Linked DNA regions of Schizosaccharomyces pombe. The main gene of each other region encodes a partner of the protein of the gene in region 3 in a complex. Each region holds a gene or a part of one and is shown on either strand. Other genes may lie near its edges.

The links.
Region 1: pmc4 (region 3) and med1 share a complex: the UniProt entries of both Schizosaccharomyces pombe proteins name them as parts of the mediator complex.
Region 2: pmc4 (region 3) and pmc3 share a complex: the UniProt entries of both Schizosaccharomyces pombe proteins name them as parts of the mediator complex.
Region 4: pmc4 (region 3) and med20 share a complex: the UniProt entries of both Schizosaccharomyces pombe proteins name them as parts of the mediator complex.

Annotation. Positions count from the first base shown.
Region 1 is NC_003424.3:535,930-540,578, forward strand, and holds med1 (mediator complex subunit Med1), read left to right. Parts: upstream 1-1,980; 5' UTR 1,981-2,465; coding exon 2,466-2,699; exon of another isoform or gene 2,700-2,745; coding exon 2,746-3,393; intron 3,394-3,435; coding exon 3,436-3,918; 3' UTR 3,919-4,083; downstream 4,084-4,649. Other genes in the region: DYRK family cell polarity protein kinase Pom1, read right to left, coding at 1-1,796; translation initiation factor Tif5, read right to left, coding at 4,196-4,649. UniProt on the Schizosaccharomyces pombe protein: Component of the Mediator complex, a coactivator involved in the regulated transcription of nearly all RNA polymerase II-dependent genes.
Region 2 is NC_003424.3:4,488,371-4,492,442, forward strand, and holds pmc3 (mediator complex subunit Med27), read left to right. Parts: upstream 1-2,035; 5' UTR 2,036-2,165; coding exon 2,166-2,240; intron 2,241-2,277; coding exon 2,278-2,341; intron 2,342-2,466; coding exon 2,467-2,544; intron 2,545-2,590; coding exon 2,591-3,012; intron 3,013-3,061; coding exon 3,062-3,244; 3' UTR 3,245-3,572; downstream 3,573-4,072. Other genes in the region: sorting and assembly machinery complex subunit Sam50, read right to left, coding at 414-1,736, 1,818-1,922; tif471 (translation initiation factor eIF4G), read right to left, coding at 3,723-4,072. UniProt on the Schizosaccharomyces pombe protein: Component of the Mediator complex, a coactivator involved in the regulated transcription of nearly all RNA polymerase II-dependent genes.
Region 3 is NC_003423.3:3,515,756-3,519,634, reverse strand, and holds pmc4 (mediator complex subunit Med4), read right to left. Parts: upstream 2,175-3,879; 5' UTR 2,147-2,174; coding exon 1,427-2,146; 3' UTR 1,170-1,426; coding exon of another isoform or gene 881-1,169; 3' UTR 839-880; coding exon of another isoform or gene 587-838; 3' UTR 546-586; downstream 1-545. Other genes in the region: TREX/TREX2 complex subunit Pci2, read left to right, coding at 34-531, 587-838, 881-1,169; cell wall glucan 1,6-beta-glucosidase Exg1, read right to left, coding at 3,274-3,879. UniProt on the Schizosaccharomyces pombe protein: Component of the Mediator complex, a coactivator involved in the regulated transcription of nearly all RNA polymerase II-dependent genes.
Region 4 is NC_003424.3:2,348,378-2,351,773, reverse strand, and holds med20 (mediator complex subunit Med20), read right to left. Parts: upstream 1,582-3,396; 5' UTR 1,448-1,581; coding exon 1,434-1,447; intron 1,392-1,433; coding exon 1,303-1,391; intron 1,234-1,302; coding exon 755-1,233; 3' UTR 530-754; downstream 1-529. Other genes in the region: ilv3 (dihydroxy-acid dehydratase), read left to right, coding at 1-403; ARP2/3 actin-organizing complex subunit Arc5, read left to right, coding at 2,504-2,649, 2,694-2,766, 2,893-3,069, 3,160-3,222; CENP-W family protein Wip1, read right to left, coding at 3,323-3,349. UniProt on the Schizosaccharomyces pombe protein: Component of the Mediator complex, a coactivator involved in the regulated transcription of nearly all RNA polymerase II-dependent genes.

The DNA.
Region 1 (4,649 bases), on a different chromosome or scaffold from region 3:
TTCATAGCTAAATCAGCAACCTTACGATCAAACGGTTCTGACAACACATTTGAAGACGCAAAAGATAAGGAAGGCTGTAATGATTCACTCGTATCAGAACTCCTTTTAGGAGTATACGAAACACTTCGTTGCTGAGGTACATGTCCTTTATCTTTAAAGTTTGAAGGTAGTGGAGGAACTGAAGGAATTTCCTCGGGCTTCTCAGGTTCACGGGAAACCTGAGAACGCGTAATCGAAAGTCTTGGAACAGGGGGAGGTGATGCAGAATCACTATTACCGTTAGAGCTTCTTTCTTTGGATGGTTTGAACCAGTTAATAAATTGCTGCATCCGGCTTTTCGTTCTCGTAGGAGTTTTCTTTCCATTCCGGTAGCTAGATTTGGTAGAAGAATCAGCTATGTAAGCATGTGGTATTGCCGGTACGTCAGGGGCATCCTCGTGTTTAGCTTTACTTCCTTTCTTCATACGAGAAGAACTTCTCGAAAAACTCAATCTGCTAAAAAAGCCACCTCTTGAAGATCTACCTTCTTTGTTGGAAGATTTCTGTGATTTAGACTCATTTTGGACAGTATTCCCATGTTTAGCTTCATGGTTACGATGCCCATCAACGTTTGTCTTCTGAGAAACCGCTTTAGGAGCAGCTTTCGGATCAGGATTTCTACTGTCGGGATGAACTTGAGATGATGTAGTAGTATTATTGTGATTATCGGATGAAACAGGTTTGTTGTTATCGAAGACAGAGGGGGTAGCAAAAGAGTGTGATTTGGTTTGTGATCCTACATGTGAGTGATTATTTTTAACATTAGAAAGGGTTATTTGACTATGGGGGGAAAGTTCTTTGAAAAAAGAATTGGATGTCTTCAAAGGGGATTGGATTGTAGAAAGATTCTTCGATTCTGAACTTGATTTCGTAAGGGATCCAGATATATTTGCTTTAGGATGTTGGTGATCAGTGGAATGACCTATATTAGGAGGAATAGTTGGAACAGGAGGAATTCCAGACTTATTTCCAATAGAAGCTGCTCTGGGATGTGAAGTAGAATGGAAGTTAGTATGACGCCAACTACCGGATCTCTTTGGAGCCATTGAAGCATGGTATGCATGGTTCCCCGAGGAAAAAACGCTAGATTGTAAAGGAACGGATGATACATCTTGTGTAATAGATATAACCCCACTCAAATGCCCCCCATTATTTTGCTGATTCCAATCACTAGGCTTTGATGAACGATTATAATATGATAAGGAAGTTCCAAAACTCTTAGAGTTCGATATTGAAGATGTCCTATGATGTGAAGAAGTATTCAACGACGAAGGATTGTTCTGCTGAGATGACTCGAAATCGATTGGGTTATTACCAATACTTATGTTTGACAAACGGTGTATGGAATTCCTCGGACTGTTTTTCTGTCTATAATCGTGATCAAAACTACTTCGGAGTAAACCATTGCCAGTCGAGTGGTGTATAGTAATAGCATGATTATCCATAGATGAACCAACTCCCTTTGGTTCAACATTCATAAATAACTCATCTTTATGCTCTTGTTCCGGAAAAGAAATGTTCGTATTTGAGGCATTCGTCGAAGGACTCGTATCTGCTGCTGTACTGCTAGAACTCTGGCGGTTTGGACAAATATCGTTGGAATAACTACCAACGGCAGAAAGTTCAGATGGGTTTAATAGTTCAGATTTTATTCCGAACATGTTTGCGCTTTTCCGGTTTGATGTATGAAGTTTAAATAATGCATCCGTATTTTCGTCGCCCAGAGAAACCGCTTTTTGGGACTGCAAATAGCCCATTTGCAAACTTTGCTTCAAAAAGCCAAAATTCTCACTATATTACGCTTTTACTGGCTTTTTTGAAACAAAATATTGTTTCTATAAGCTCCCTCCTTCAGTTACAGTCTCTTATCTTCTTTAAAATGCAAACTAGTAGCAGTACGTTCGTGGCTAATTAAAGCCGCGCTACACCCTGCATATCAATACCAACCACTTCTGAAAGGGCACGCAAGCTGTAAATGAAACATAGAACGCTTATTGATTTGTGCACAAATTTTACCAAAAAGAAAATATTTTATTAAGATTTACTGCATATATATTTTGATGCTTTAAAAAGAGTTTGAGTGAACATACTTTGGGTTTTTTTTAGTCCAAGGTTTAAAATTGGTTTTCATTTGTATACATATAAAATTCCCCATAACTACTGTTTTAACCCTCGTTATAAAGATAAATCAATCACACAGACCTTCCCATTGAAACTAAGTTTTAGGCGGTTCAAAATTACCTACTTGTTTTTGCAATTAATGCGTTTCTAGCAAATAGTTTGATGGCAGTAAAGGCTTCCTTTTTGCAGAACAAATTAAATTGCTCGCTGAACAGACATAAAATTGCGCTTATATACAGTGTTTTAAGCTGATTAAATACGAAATACACGACTAATTTACTAAATCTTCTTTAATAATCTTTTCGATGGATAGACCACATCTCTTTTCTGAAGTTCATTTCCGTCGAAACGCCTCTAACCCCAATCAGATTAACTGGACGCGTTATTGGATTGATTGTCTATCATCAGTTCCTTGGAATGATATCTCTGTAACTGGATTTGAATATTTGGCTAAAAAGTATGGTCTGGAGGTTTTTCAAGACTCCTCCAAACCCAATGAAGTGGTCCTCAGTTTAGCTGGAAAAATAATTTTGATCGACGTAAGTTTAAATCCTGTACATAACCGTTTTACTAATTAGTATCTAGATCACTGTTCCCATAAATGCGTCTCCAAAAGATATCAACGTTGTTTTGGCTTTTGCAAACGCTAGTGGTGAGCAATATAATAATCCTGTTGCAGAAAAATTACTTAAGGATGCAATTTACAATTGCAATACCCCACTATTTGAAAAGAATGTCAAATGGTTGGCTACCTTTGATCACTCCTCTCCTTCGGTCCAACAAAGTTGTTTCCAATATTTAGACTCACTATCCTCTTCTTTAAATGCTATTTATGAAGCAGAATTATCTTTGCTAGCACAAGAAGAAAATGTTATAATGCATGGAAACGGAAAGCCTCTCAGTAATTACGAAGGACAACTTGGTTTGCGTATTGTATACTGGAAGCTTTTGGATAAAACCTATAGCACTCAAATTTTTATGGATAATTTGTCTCATGAGTCGCTACCTCACTTGTTATTCGGATATAATTTATTAAATTCTCCTCCTATCCTCCAATCATCAAAAATTAATTGGGCACTTGAAAATACTTTGACACCTATTCCTACAACAATGGAACTAGTTTTTGATGATATCAATTTAATAATACCAGAGCAGGGCGTCAAACCTTTACTTGATTTGCTTCATGTCCATGACATTACCATTCCTTGGCCTGTCCAAAATTATAGTCATATGGTAAGTACTTTCCCTAAATATCAACTTAACTAATTTCACCAGCTTGGTTTACCTTCAAAATCAACCGTGAACTACAAATTCATTAATAAAAATCAAGCCATCCAGCTAACAGGGTTCGATGTTTCCGCACGTTCTTTGCGTCACGTACCGTTTCATCATCCCAAGCAAATTCGAGGAATACTTGCTATTGTACGCCAATATTTATTATTACAATTGATTTTGGAAAATATCAAATCAGCAGATTTAGCAGAGACTGCGGCATCTTCCTCCCTTCACCTCTCTCTATATTTTAAGGAGCATCCGATCGTTCATGCCCAATATCAAGAAATCAACAAACTGAATAATTCCGAACAAATTATCATTGTTCTATCCGTATTGTCAGATGGAAGACTGAATGTTGATTATATGTCTAGTGGTGGCAAAGAATTGTCAAAACAACAGTCTCATGTTTTTCAAAAACTTATACAACAAACATGTAACATCGGACTTGCGATAGAAGTGTTTATAAAGAAAGTCGTTAATTAGAATTTCATGCTAGAAAAAGACATTACTAATCAGTTTTAAAAATCTTTAGTAAAATGAAATTATGGAATTAGTTGGATGTTTTGAATAGTATAAATTGAACACTTTAAAAGGCTAGCCTATTTTACAAAAATCAGAACACTTTAATAGATATATTCAACTTACGAGAAACTAATTTGCTAAAACTTGAAAGAATCAGCTTAATATTTTAGAGAACAGGATTGTAAGTTATTCAATTCTCAAAGCACAAATTGTGGTAGAGAGTAAAAAGAGGCCGTTCTTATTCGTCGTCGTCTTCTTCTTCTTCCTCCTCATCTTCACTCTCAGATTCGTCACTTGCTTCAGCCAACCATGTCAAAAAAGGTTCAGCAGCTTCATGAATCTTCTTACTAGTTTCACGGCTCACATATTTCTTGCTAGCCTTTGCTCCCCATTTCTCAAACATGTCATCAGAGACCAAGTCATTCTGATAAATCTCCAAGAGTACCTTGGGAACAACGTCGATGTGCACTAATTCAGTGTTTTCCATCAAACGTTCAAACCCACCAAGAAGAGCACGTTCATGTTTATCTGTCGTGCAAAGCTTTTTAAACAATGCACCATGCTTTTCAAACTCCCCAACGTAAGGCGAAGTAATAATACATTGAACTAGTACAACAATAGCTTTACTTTTATGATGAATATTCTCTTCCTTCATCTTTTTGTAAATTTCAACATCAGAAACACCAGGGTAG
Region 2 (4,072 bases), on a different chromosome or scaffold from region 3:
CTGAAACCCAAACATAAACTAATGCGCTTTTTCTAGCTAGCAAGACCTTCAAAGAAGGATTAAAGGCTCTTCTATCTCATTTTAAAGTCGTAGTTTATTTTTCGACTAATTGCAATTATTAATCTTCTTTTAATAATAAAAATACAAAAGATACTCTGATGTTATGTAACTATCTTCGTTTAAATTTATTCATATATGGTTATTGAAATTCTGTGAAATTCATAAATCTTGACCAAAAGCAAAATATTTGTATGACAATTATAAATATGCATGAAAATTTAATTCAAACGCAGTAAAAGCAATTGTCAACCGTAACATTCTTATCATTAGCATAAATGAGAGAAAAAGACAGACAAGTCAGAGATGGGAATAGTAGAGACCTTATTAAAGTAAAAAGTTAAAAAGGAAAATCATTACATGAAATCGATACCCGCGCCGAATTGCAGGCCTTTACGACCGATATCCTTTTCGGTAGTAGCGATTGGTAAGGTAAAGTTCAGCTCGAAACGCGCAGCGGGAGTTGCATAGACTAAACCTAAGCCTGTAGAGATACAAGGCTTAGAAAGTATTGATTTGTATGTGCCACATGGATTTGGAGAAGTCAAATTCGATAGCCCTCCAGCATTCGCAAACAACTGTAAGCGAAATGGTTTAGAAGCATCAACTTTTGGCAAAGGGAATAGCAAGCTCATGGAGAAAGCCATATATGCGGTCCCGCCTAAAGAATCCCTGCCATCTTTTGGACCTATACGGTCTTCTGAAAAACCACGAAGGCTAGTTGAACCGCCTAACATGAAACGATCACACAGACTGACTTGCTTCTTATTTAGACTATGCAATGCTCCAATCCGGGCGGACAAAGAAAGAGAAACAGACCTAGAAGAATTTAAAGCCACAGCTTTTTGACCCCAGAATTCTGATTTTAGAAAGCTCGCATCTCCTGGAAGAAATCCGAACCCAGCGAGCTCTAAAGTCTGCCTCACATAATCTCCCTTCGTGGGTATCATAAGATGATCGCGTGTATCGCGTGTATACGTATAGGAAAGAGATTGTTTTAATGAATCACCGGCCTCAAGTCGTACGCTTGGAGAAGCATATTCAGTGAGATGAGTAACTTGCCTCCACAATAAGTTTTGTGAAAGTAAATGCTCGCCAGACCACAGATCTTGATGCTGCAATGAAAGCGTAATTCCTTTAGTAAGTAAGTCATGGCTCGAAATAGATTTATTGTCTCTCAAGTTACTGTGGCCATTGAATCGTAAACGGGTTTTAGGATCTGCGTTTACTGGGGTCTCAAAGTTCACGGACATGGTAGACCGATTACGAGTTCCATATGAAACGTTACCAGAAAGAAGTTCAGCTCCTCCAAAAACATTTCTTGCAAGAACATTAGCATGTACATTGCCTTCAACGTTACCAACATCAGTGCCGGTTTCTACATATAAACGTGGTTTCTCTTTTACTTGAATGGTAACATCAAGATCATCATCTCCAGAAACAGAAGAGCTAGCACGATCTATTTTAATATTGGCAGTTTCATAAACGTTGAATGCCATCAAATTCCCAGTAGTTTCTTGAATAGCATTTAATGTTTCAAGCAAAGATCGACTTTTGGCCGGTTTCGACGTATCCAAACATGTTTTCAATACTTTGCGAATGAAACTTGGCCTAGTATGATGTGCACCAGTAACTCGAATGGAAGAAATACCCACTGGCAAAGTGCTATTTTCTGCCAACTGATTGATGATGGTTAGTATAAATTATGGTGAATTAAAAAAAAAATAGAGACGAAAATTAGATAATAAAACTTAACTTACAATTTCAGAAAGGCTCTTAAATGTTTCCTCAGCTGAAAGTTTGCTTTCTTCGTTCACGGCGGGAATGTCAGATGGAAAAGAAGTTGACTCAAATTGTTCGGTCATATTTTCAAATTTCCTATATTTTGAATATAATAACAATCTTCTTTCTCAATAGCACTGGGGTTGAATTATTTTTTAAAGGTTTTTAGATGAATGTAAGTTCGTTAATGACAGCCGACATCTTACCATCTACTATTTGGATGTGCCGATTTTTGAATTCTCTCCATTTACCATCAATATTTATTTAATATACGCATTGTTAATTTTTTTTTCATAATTATTTTAAGTTTGTTAAGGCTACCAGAAATGTCATTAGAAGAGCAGCGTACAAGAGATGAATTAAAGCACAAGCTATTGGATTTAAATCAGCTTCACGAACAGGTTTGTCTAATTTCAGAAGACATTTTATTAATTTTAGCTTGCTGAATTAAGAACTATTTGTCCATCCCTTTTAAAATTATTACATCCTGAAACCGGCACAAGTAAGTAATTGTTTAAATAACTAAATTCTTTAAGAAAAACGAGTTAAAGTTTACACTAAGGGAAAATGATATGATGATTATCTTTCATATTAAATTTAAATTTTGCTCGAGTACTAATTAATTAGGTCGGAAATTTGAGAAAAGTGCTCAAGAAGCGATTGAAAAAGTAAATTCCTTTTATACACATCTTAAATCCAGTCAAAGTATGCATGCAAATTATTTTTAGCTTAAATTTTTGCTAATTAACAGACGTTTTTGATTATGCTGAAAAGTCTTTACAAGCCGATTCCTCTAATTTGCTCCCTACTTATTTATACAATTCAGAAGATTTGTCTAATGATACCGAAAATAATGAAACAAAATCCATTAATGGGAAGTCTGCATTAGACTTAAAGGAGCCGCATCACAGTGAATTGCATGATAATGACAATTTCCAAAATTCGGATATAAACATAGAGTCTTTTAAAGGTGATATTGAGGCTTCAGGGTCTATTCTTACAACGCATGAAAACAAGTCTTTCACTTTGAAACTAGCAAACGAGCTAGAGTTTATTTTCTTTCATGATACTAGGGGGAAATTTAGTGTTTATTGTTCATCTAGCAAAGACGATGCTATTACTTTTTCAATTAACCGTAACAACAACTTCCTTGGAAATTTATGGTCTCTTATGGTATGTGTTTTTGAGGTTGTTAGACAAAACCTCTGCTAACCGTGTGTAGCCTAAAATACTTGATTATCAGCATCTTTATTCTAAGCCGTGTGACTTTTGTAAAAGTCTCATTTCTCCTGTGTACCTGGAGCTTCCTTCTGTTCGAAGAAACGCAAACTCAACAGTGAAGCCTACTTCTAAAGATATATTAGCGTTACATGCAGAATGCGTGCCGGCTCAGTCAGATTTGTGAAACACTAATTTTGATATTCAAATGAAATAAGACGTTCATAATTGCCATTTTTGCTTCGTTTTGAGCTTGAGTTACAATTATCACTTTCAAAGAAGTGCATTTCAATCACATGCAGATGTTGGAATAAACTCAATGTCTTCTGACTCCTTGATATTTATAATTTCCAAATCTTGTTGGACTACTCAAGCCTGTTCTACAAACTTCAAATACCTTAATATATCATGGTTTTGTATACTAAAAATTCAAAAGTACTACTCTTTTAGTGATATAGATACTGTAAATTGGGCTATGCGTAACTCAATGAATGAAATTAAAATTTTCCAAAGCATTTCTCAATTACAATGTAGAGAATGTATTACCTTATACTATAAAGTCCATTTCCCGTTAACCCTGATAAATGATGGATTCATCCATAGCAAAACAATCAAAACAAACCAAAAGATGAAAGACTTAAATTACAGATTCAAATCCGATTACTTTACGAACTAGTTTTTGAGTTAGAATCTTTTTGACCCCCATCATTATCATGGTCATGCTCTTCAAGTAATTCGAAAGAATTAGCAGAAGTAACCGCGACGTTAGATGGTGGTGCACGAACAGACTGTTCCCTTCTTAAGGCACTGTTTTGACGAGAAGGCGTTCTACTAACGCTTCCACCTTTAAGCATTGAACTCAAACTTGTGGGACCGTGAGAACCCTGAGTACCAGATTTGAGACCTCTTATACCTTGTCCAAGTCTAGCATAACCATCTTTGTTATTAGACCAATCACTAGAGCTAAATGGTGGATTGCTTCCTCGACCGCCCATCCGAGAATCACCACGATTCA
Region 3 (3,879 bases):
TTTGTTTATTATTTCTCACTTTTGTTTTTCTAGTAACTTGACAACTTGCTTCTCCCATATCGATGGAGCATGGTTGTGTACAATTGTAAAACGCGTTTCAAAGCTTTATGTAAAGCTCTCCCTTCAGCTAGATACATCTACACCTACTTTAGAAGATTCTTTTGATGGTAATGGGTTCATACAGAGGAAATACGTGAGCGATGCATCTAGGAACGTCTTACGAACGTTCAATAGTATACTGAGTGATCGTCAACAAAACATTAACCCTTCGAAGAAGGATGCGATATTCTGTATTGCCAATTTACTTTGTTTACTATATTTTCGCTTAAAGCAAATTCGTCTTTGCCAAACTATTCAAGCTAATGTCATCTCTTCGGGTGCCGATATTTCTCGCGCTACAATGGCGGAATTAGTAACGTTTCGTTATTATTTAGGAAGGTGTCATCTTTATCAACGCAAAATTCATCAGGCAAAGGACCATCTACTTTTTTCGTTTCTTCAGTGCCCTGATGAGTGTTATCATCAAAAAAGGTATGTTTTATTTTACTCAAAAATAGGATTCGTTTATATTTACTAATCAAAAAAGGCTTTCTCTAATCTATCTTACAACGTGTTTACTTATATTAGGAAAATCGCCAACAAAAGGGCTATTAGAAAAATACAAATTGACTGCAGCATTCGAACCTTTAATAAAAGCTTTGAAAAGTGGTGATATCAAGTCGTTCAGATTATCTTTGGAGGACAATTCCAGGAGGAAATGGTTTATCAAACGAGGAATATATCTAACTTTATTGGATAGATGTGAAATCATCCTGTGGAGGAATTTATTTAGAAAGGTGTACGTTTGAGATTTTTTAAAATATTCGACTAATTTAAAAAGGTTTCTTTTTACTTTTGAGCAAAGCCAAAAAACCCCGCACGTATCTGGTTCTTACTTGTTAACCGCGGCCCGTTTAAGTACAAATGATAACTCATATGACATGGACGATGTCGAATGTATCTGTGTTTCTCTAATTGACCAAGGATATATTAAAGGTTATATCATTCATGCATCATCAACTTTAGTCCTTAAAAAAGACCCATCGTTCGGTTTTTCTGTAATAGAGAGCCTTATGCCCATAGCAAGGAATGATCACGCAGAAAAGGAATTTTTTCATGCTAACGCATAATTAAATGAACTCAGAAAACGTAGATTGTTCGAAAATTATACTTAAAATTAATTAAATTTGAATTGACAAATGTTAAGCAAGGAACAGTGTTCAATCATCTTGCTTTGCGAAGTCTGAAAGCTAAATAAATACAGTCTAAACGGCAAAGCGTAATTTTATTCATTTTTAAAACAAAAGGGTATTTGGTCAAAGCAAAAAACTCTATAATTAGAAAAGTAAAATACCAGATATCACTTGACAAATAACACAATTTAGAATCAAAAATCTTCTTCCATTTCTGGATCAAAAAGATCAAATCCTGCAAAGACATCCTTATTAGCTGGCGATTCTACTTCTTTATTTTCCTCTTGCGTAGTGAATGTTGGAGAGGCAGGATAATTCATTTTAGTTTTTTCTTCAACGGCTTTGTTCGCATCAATTTCTGTTTCTGTTTCCGTTGGCTCGTTCGTCTTTGGAGGCTGTTCAGAAAATAATTGGGACGCTGTAGCCGATAAATTTGGAACCATGCTAGTTGAAAACTGAAACAACAGAGTTTTTCGCATCTGGTCCTCCGATGGCCAAGGATAATGCACAGGAGCTTTTGCATCTTGACCCGTCTCGGGATTGTACCCAGGAGGTGCAGAGGAAAACTTGGAAAGTTTTCTACCATAATCAAGGAGTGTTTCAGCATTAACTTTTTGTCGTTTTCTCCCCGACACTGTTTTTGGAAGATGGGTATCATAAATTGAGGTCATTTCTCTCATGCAGTCTTGAATTTGTAAATCCAGTTCCTTATCCTGCTTCAGCAAAGAACTAATTTCATTTTGTAATTCTCTACCATTTGTGTAATTTGATATTAAAGAGTGTAAGGTTTTCAAGTGGCCTACTAATGAGGTCCAGTTTTCTATTAGTACATATTGGTCAACCTTTTCGGATGACAGTCTTAACTGTTTATTGAGACATTCTTCAATAGAATCAATGGCTCTTTGATATTCCATTGGGGAGCATATGTGATTACTATATACTAACTACTCAACAATTGCTCGATCATCTAGTAGGTCAGGTTACAGTTATTTTGCAGACTCGACTTTTTACTCCTTAAACATCCGTAACCGTTAGTTAAACAGACATCCTTAAAAGGTTTAATGTGCTAAAACACGGTAAATTACAGTAATGTCCTCCTCCACAAGGGCAATAAGTAGCAGCTGGTATATACGCTCGACGAACAATACTTAAGTTACTCTCGATTAAATAGAATTAGTCAATTTAATTCTGTATATGATTTTAATTGTTTAAATTGTCTAACAAATTTCACTAATTTGGGCAAGAAGAAAGCTATTATTCGTATAAATTAGTCGACAAACTACGTTACATTTACAGTGTAACAATTTTGATCTTGTTAGGGACAACATAATGAATACATACTAGTGAATTAGATATCTCATTAAATTAAAAAAGCGAGTTCGTTAAAGAATGCTTAATGAGCTTATTTCGTTTAATGCGTATAAAGCCTATATCAGATCAGAAAATGTGTAATATTACTTTACCAAGAAATCGCTCAATTTAAATGTAATTTTTATAAAAGTATTTTAAACATATGTCACCTGTGGCTGAGTGAAAACCTATTCTGTCGATTTGCTTTTCCGAGACTAACTCAAAGTGGTCCGTCTATGTGGCTCAATACTGACTTATAAGAGTAGAGCAGAAAATACATTTCATATAAGTAAACTGAAGATACTTGATAATTGAAAATTCAATTGGACAACTTTAAAAAGATTTCTCGGTCAACTTTCTCCAAAGTACAGCTACTGTTAATATAGAGTTCGAAAAAATATGCAATATTGAACGTAAACTATTAAGCTAAATATTAATTTAGTAGGAACTTGCTACCAAAATATTAATATCACATAACTAAAAGATTTCGAAAACAACAATATATATTAAAAACTAATGTCTAAAGATAATGCCAAACAAACAAAGACTGAATGGATAGTAGATAGCAGCACGTTAAATGATAGTAGATGATAAATGCAAGGACAGGACATGACAACGATGTGTGAGATATAAATTAGTGTTATACAGCTAGAATAGATAAAATTTTTTTTTAACTTTGATATGGCTTTGCTTAACCGCAGTAAGAGCTATATTGTCTATCAGTGAAAGGTTGAGGGAATACGCCGTATTCAATAAGTAATCCCATATCCCAAGTAGGACTTGGTCCACCAGTTTTAGCAGTCCAGTAAATCCAACCAGCACCGCGTTCAAATTGATCTAACTGAGTTTCGATAAACAGACGAACAGCTCCCTTATATTCATCCGTCCAAGTGGAAATATCACCGCTGTTTGGTCCAATAAATGTCGAAGAGTCAACTCCTTCTTCGAAAATCGTGCAGTCTGCTAAAGTTCCGGACCATTCGCCAGTAACAGTAATGTAGGGAGAGGAAGCAATGGAATCACCAATGGAGCAAACATCTGAAAGATGATCATCGAGAGTCTTTGAGCACTCATCCGACTCGTAAAGTTGATAACGATGGACATCCATAACAAGATTGTATGAAGAAGGAGATACAACACCATAATCCCAAATAGAAAGATCAACATAGGCATCGTGAATGATAGTAGCAACAGAGCTGGAAAGAGGATTGACGATATTATAGGCATCTAAATCGTATTGCTTAAGTTGATCCATATCCAGACCATAGCCCAAAGGCTCATTTACCGTCTCAATTCC
Region 4 (3,396 bases), on a different chromosome or scaffold from region 3:
CGAGAAGACTGTCGTCATTATTCGTTTTGAGGGACCAAAAGGTGGACCTGGTATGCCGGAAATGTTAAAGCCTTCAAGTGCTATTATGGGAGCTGGTCTTGGAAAGGATGTTGCACTTTTGACTGACGGTCGTTTCAGTGGTGGCTCTCACGGATTTTTGATTGGACACGTTGATCCCGAAGCACAAGTTGGAGGCCCTATTGCTCTTGTTCAGGACGGCGATGTCATTGAAATCAATGCTGTAAAGAACACTTTAGATTTGATGGTTGATGAGAAGGAGATGGCGAGACGCCGCAGTGTTTGGAAGGCACCTCCTTTGAAGTACCAACAAGGAACCCTTTTAAAATATGCTCGCAACGTTAGCACTGCCTCCAAGGGTGCTGTTACAGATTCCTTAGAGTAAAGCATATTCAATGCTTTTATAAGCGCGCATAGTATTTTGGAAACTTAGACGTTTAATGTTTTGGTAGTAAAGGTTGATTAATAAGCTTTTAATGCTGATTCCATAATCTCATCTAGAGTTTATTTGAATAATTTTGAATGAATAATTACTTTTTGGAGTACAGTGAAATGCATCGAGTTTAAAATGGGTTGTTATTCAAACTCCTGCATTTCTATTTTATTATTAAACATAATTGGTATCTGTAAATGTGAAAGGGAGCCATAACTTTCTGCTGACAATAAAGCAAGACTTTGACAGTTAGTTAGATAGAAATTTATTTACAGAAAAAATTTAAATTGATACTTTTTTATTCTATGTGCGTTGTGAAACGGTATCAATGCGTTGTTTAAACAACTGTAGTAGAAGTTTTGAATCCAAAGAATGACGAGGCTGGTTAAAGAAGCTTTCATAGACAGGGGTTACCGATTTATTATTTTGTAAAAAGCATTTAAGAAAGAATTCTTGAATAATAGGGCGTGCGAGATCGACGGACTCAGTACCATCGTAAGTTACATGAAAAAGTATACCCTTCCAAACGGACTTTTGTAAAACGTTGGCAATAGCCACTTTAAAGCTCCCTACTTCATATATTGAACCTTCAATAGTAAAGGACTGCCGAAAATTCCATAATTTCGTTCGCACAATGATGTCCTCAAGTTCAGGTTCTGCATCAATCATTGTCGCTTCATCCACACACGCCAGCATGCTGGGATTAATGTTTTGCTTCAAAAATTCTAAAGTTTTTGGAGTGACAGCATTTCTGTAAAGTTTATACTGAACTACCCATTTTTCTGAAATTCAAAGTTAGATCTTGAAATCATCAATCATAAGAAATAAAATCCAAACCAGTGTCAGCTTACTTAAATGTTGTGCAAAGTAGGTCCTAACCAGATTATCCTGTGCTGGAGAAAGGAACGTCGCCATTGAAGGCGATGAATAATAAATAACTCTATAATCAATCAGCAAAATAGTCAATCGGTATGCTTTTTACCCGTGAACAGGCATATTTTATAACAAAGATGAATGGTAATTAATTATGCATCTGAATATCGGTTTATACCGAATTATTGAGAAAAATGGCCGAATTAGTTCTTTTACTTCTACTGTAATGTTGATGTGAAGAGTTTAATGCGTACGGCGGTTGCAAGAATTGCTAACAGGCTAATTTAAAACCTTCATTTTCATTGTTCCTGTATTAAAAAAAAAAAGCAGATAGACATAATATGAGCTCAAATTTTATTAATTTATCTCTTGTCATTTTTATTATTTTCCAAGTCGCAAAGTATATGGCTTTTGGGTATGATAATCCCAGAGCAAATTGTTAAAAGCTTGAAGAGAATTAAGTTAACTGAATTACATTCATAATTAACTTCTGGAGAGTCAAATACTACGTAACAATGTAACTGGCTGGTTTGAGCACTAATTAAAAATCTGTTAATCCCAGGATGTTACATATGTGTCTCTTCGTTTTACTTTGAACTTTACACAAGAAACTACATAGTTCTGTCAGCAAAATAAGTCTTAAAAGTTATTGTTCGAATAGAAGTATAAACTCATACATCAATATACATACTGAAAATAGATAGAAGCAAAAAAAAAATTACTTTTAATCTTTATTCAACTAATTACTAGGCTGTATCTAACATATTTTCTTCTGAATCACCATAGGCAGAAATGTAAAATATGTAACCAATTTCTGTCTACAAGTTATTCAGAACTTTACATCTAAGACCAAAGGTAGAGATGATTATTTACAAATAAAAAAAAATAAACATCCACAAAAGAGGTCTATGGAGTACTGAAGAAGTTAGTAATGCTGTTACCAGACTTATATAGCTCCGCTCAAAAATTATAAGTTAAAGTTATAAGATTAAAAAAATATAAATATATTTTTTTGAATTTTCTTAACTTATTGGTTAAATTAATATACTCTATGAATTATAATAACTTCAGTTACAGACTTGCGTTCGACCGTTGTATGATGCCTCTTTAGAGCTACACACAGCTGAAACTTAACCTGTTCCATCGTTTTCTTTACCTTACCAGTTATAGAGTTATAAAATGACGTTTCGGACTTTGGATGTCGACTCCATCACAGAACCTGTTTTAACAGAGCAAGATATATTTCCAATTCGTAACGAAACGGCGGAGCAAGTCCAAGCAGCCGTCTCTCAACTCATTCCTCAAGCCCGGTCTGCCATTCAAACGTATGTTTATTTAAAAGAAGCAATTTTTTTATTAATTAAAATAGAGGAAATGCCTTACAAGGTTTGAAAACCTTACTCTCATATGTTCCTTATGGAAATGATGTTCAAGAAGTTAGGGTATGTGCAAACTGTACAAACTGCTTAAAGACGGTTTATATCAATTACGTTTTTATTTATTGATTAAATTTACAATTCTTCTTGATTTCATTTTATTATGGTGTAAATGAATTTTAACTTTTTTAGACTCAATATTTGAATGCTTTTGTTGATGTATTAAGCAATATACGAGCTGCTGACATTCCCGCATTTGTAAAAGAATGTTCAACGGAGGAAATTGATAATATTGTAAACTTCATTTATCGTGGATTGGCGAATCCTCAAGCCTACAACTCGTCTGTATTACTTAATTGGCACGAAAAGGTAACTTTTAGTTTATTGCTTTTCCCAACGCTCTAGCATTGCTTATCTCATGCTTTACATTTTTATTCGGTCACTAATACGGTTTTGTAGGTGGTGGAAATATCCGGTATAGGATGTATAGTTCGTGTTCTCAATAGTAGACCCGATCTATAAATATGGCTTTATCTTACTTTTTGGTATCTACTATTCTGTCGCTTATGGAACTGAATCAATGATTCTGTTTTATGTCTTCTTTCCCACATAATGACTCTTTTTATCCTTTAAATTGAGCTAGAATTTTCTAAATGGTTAGTAAGTATGTTCCATTTTAAAAAATAAAGTGCAATC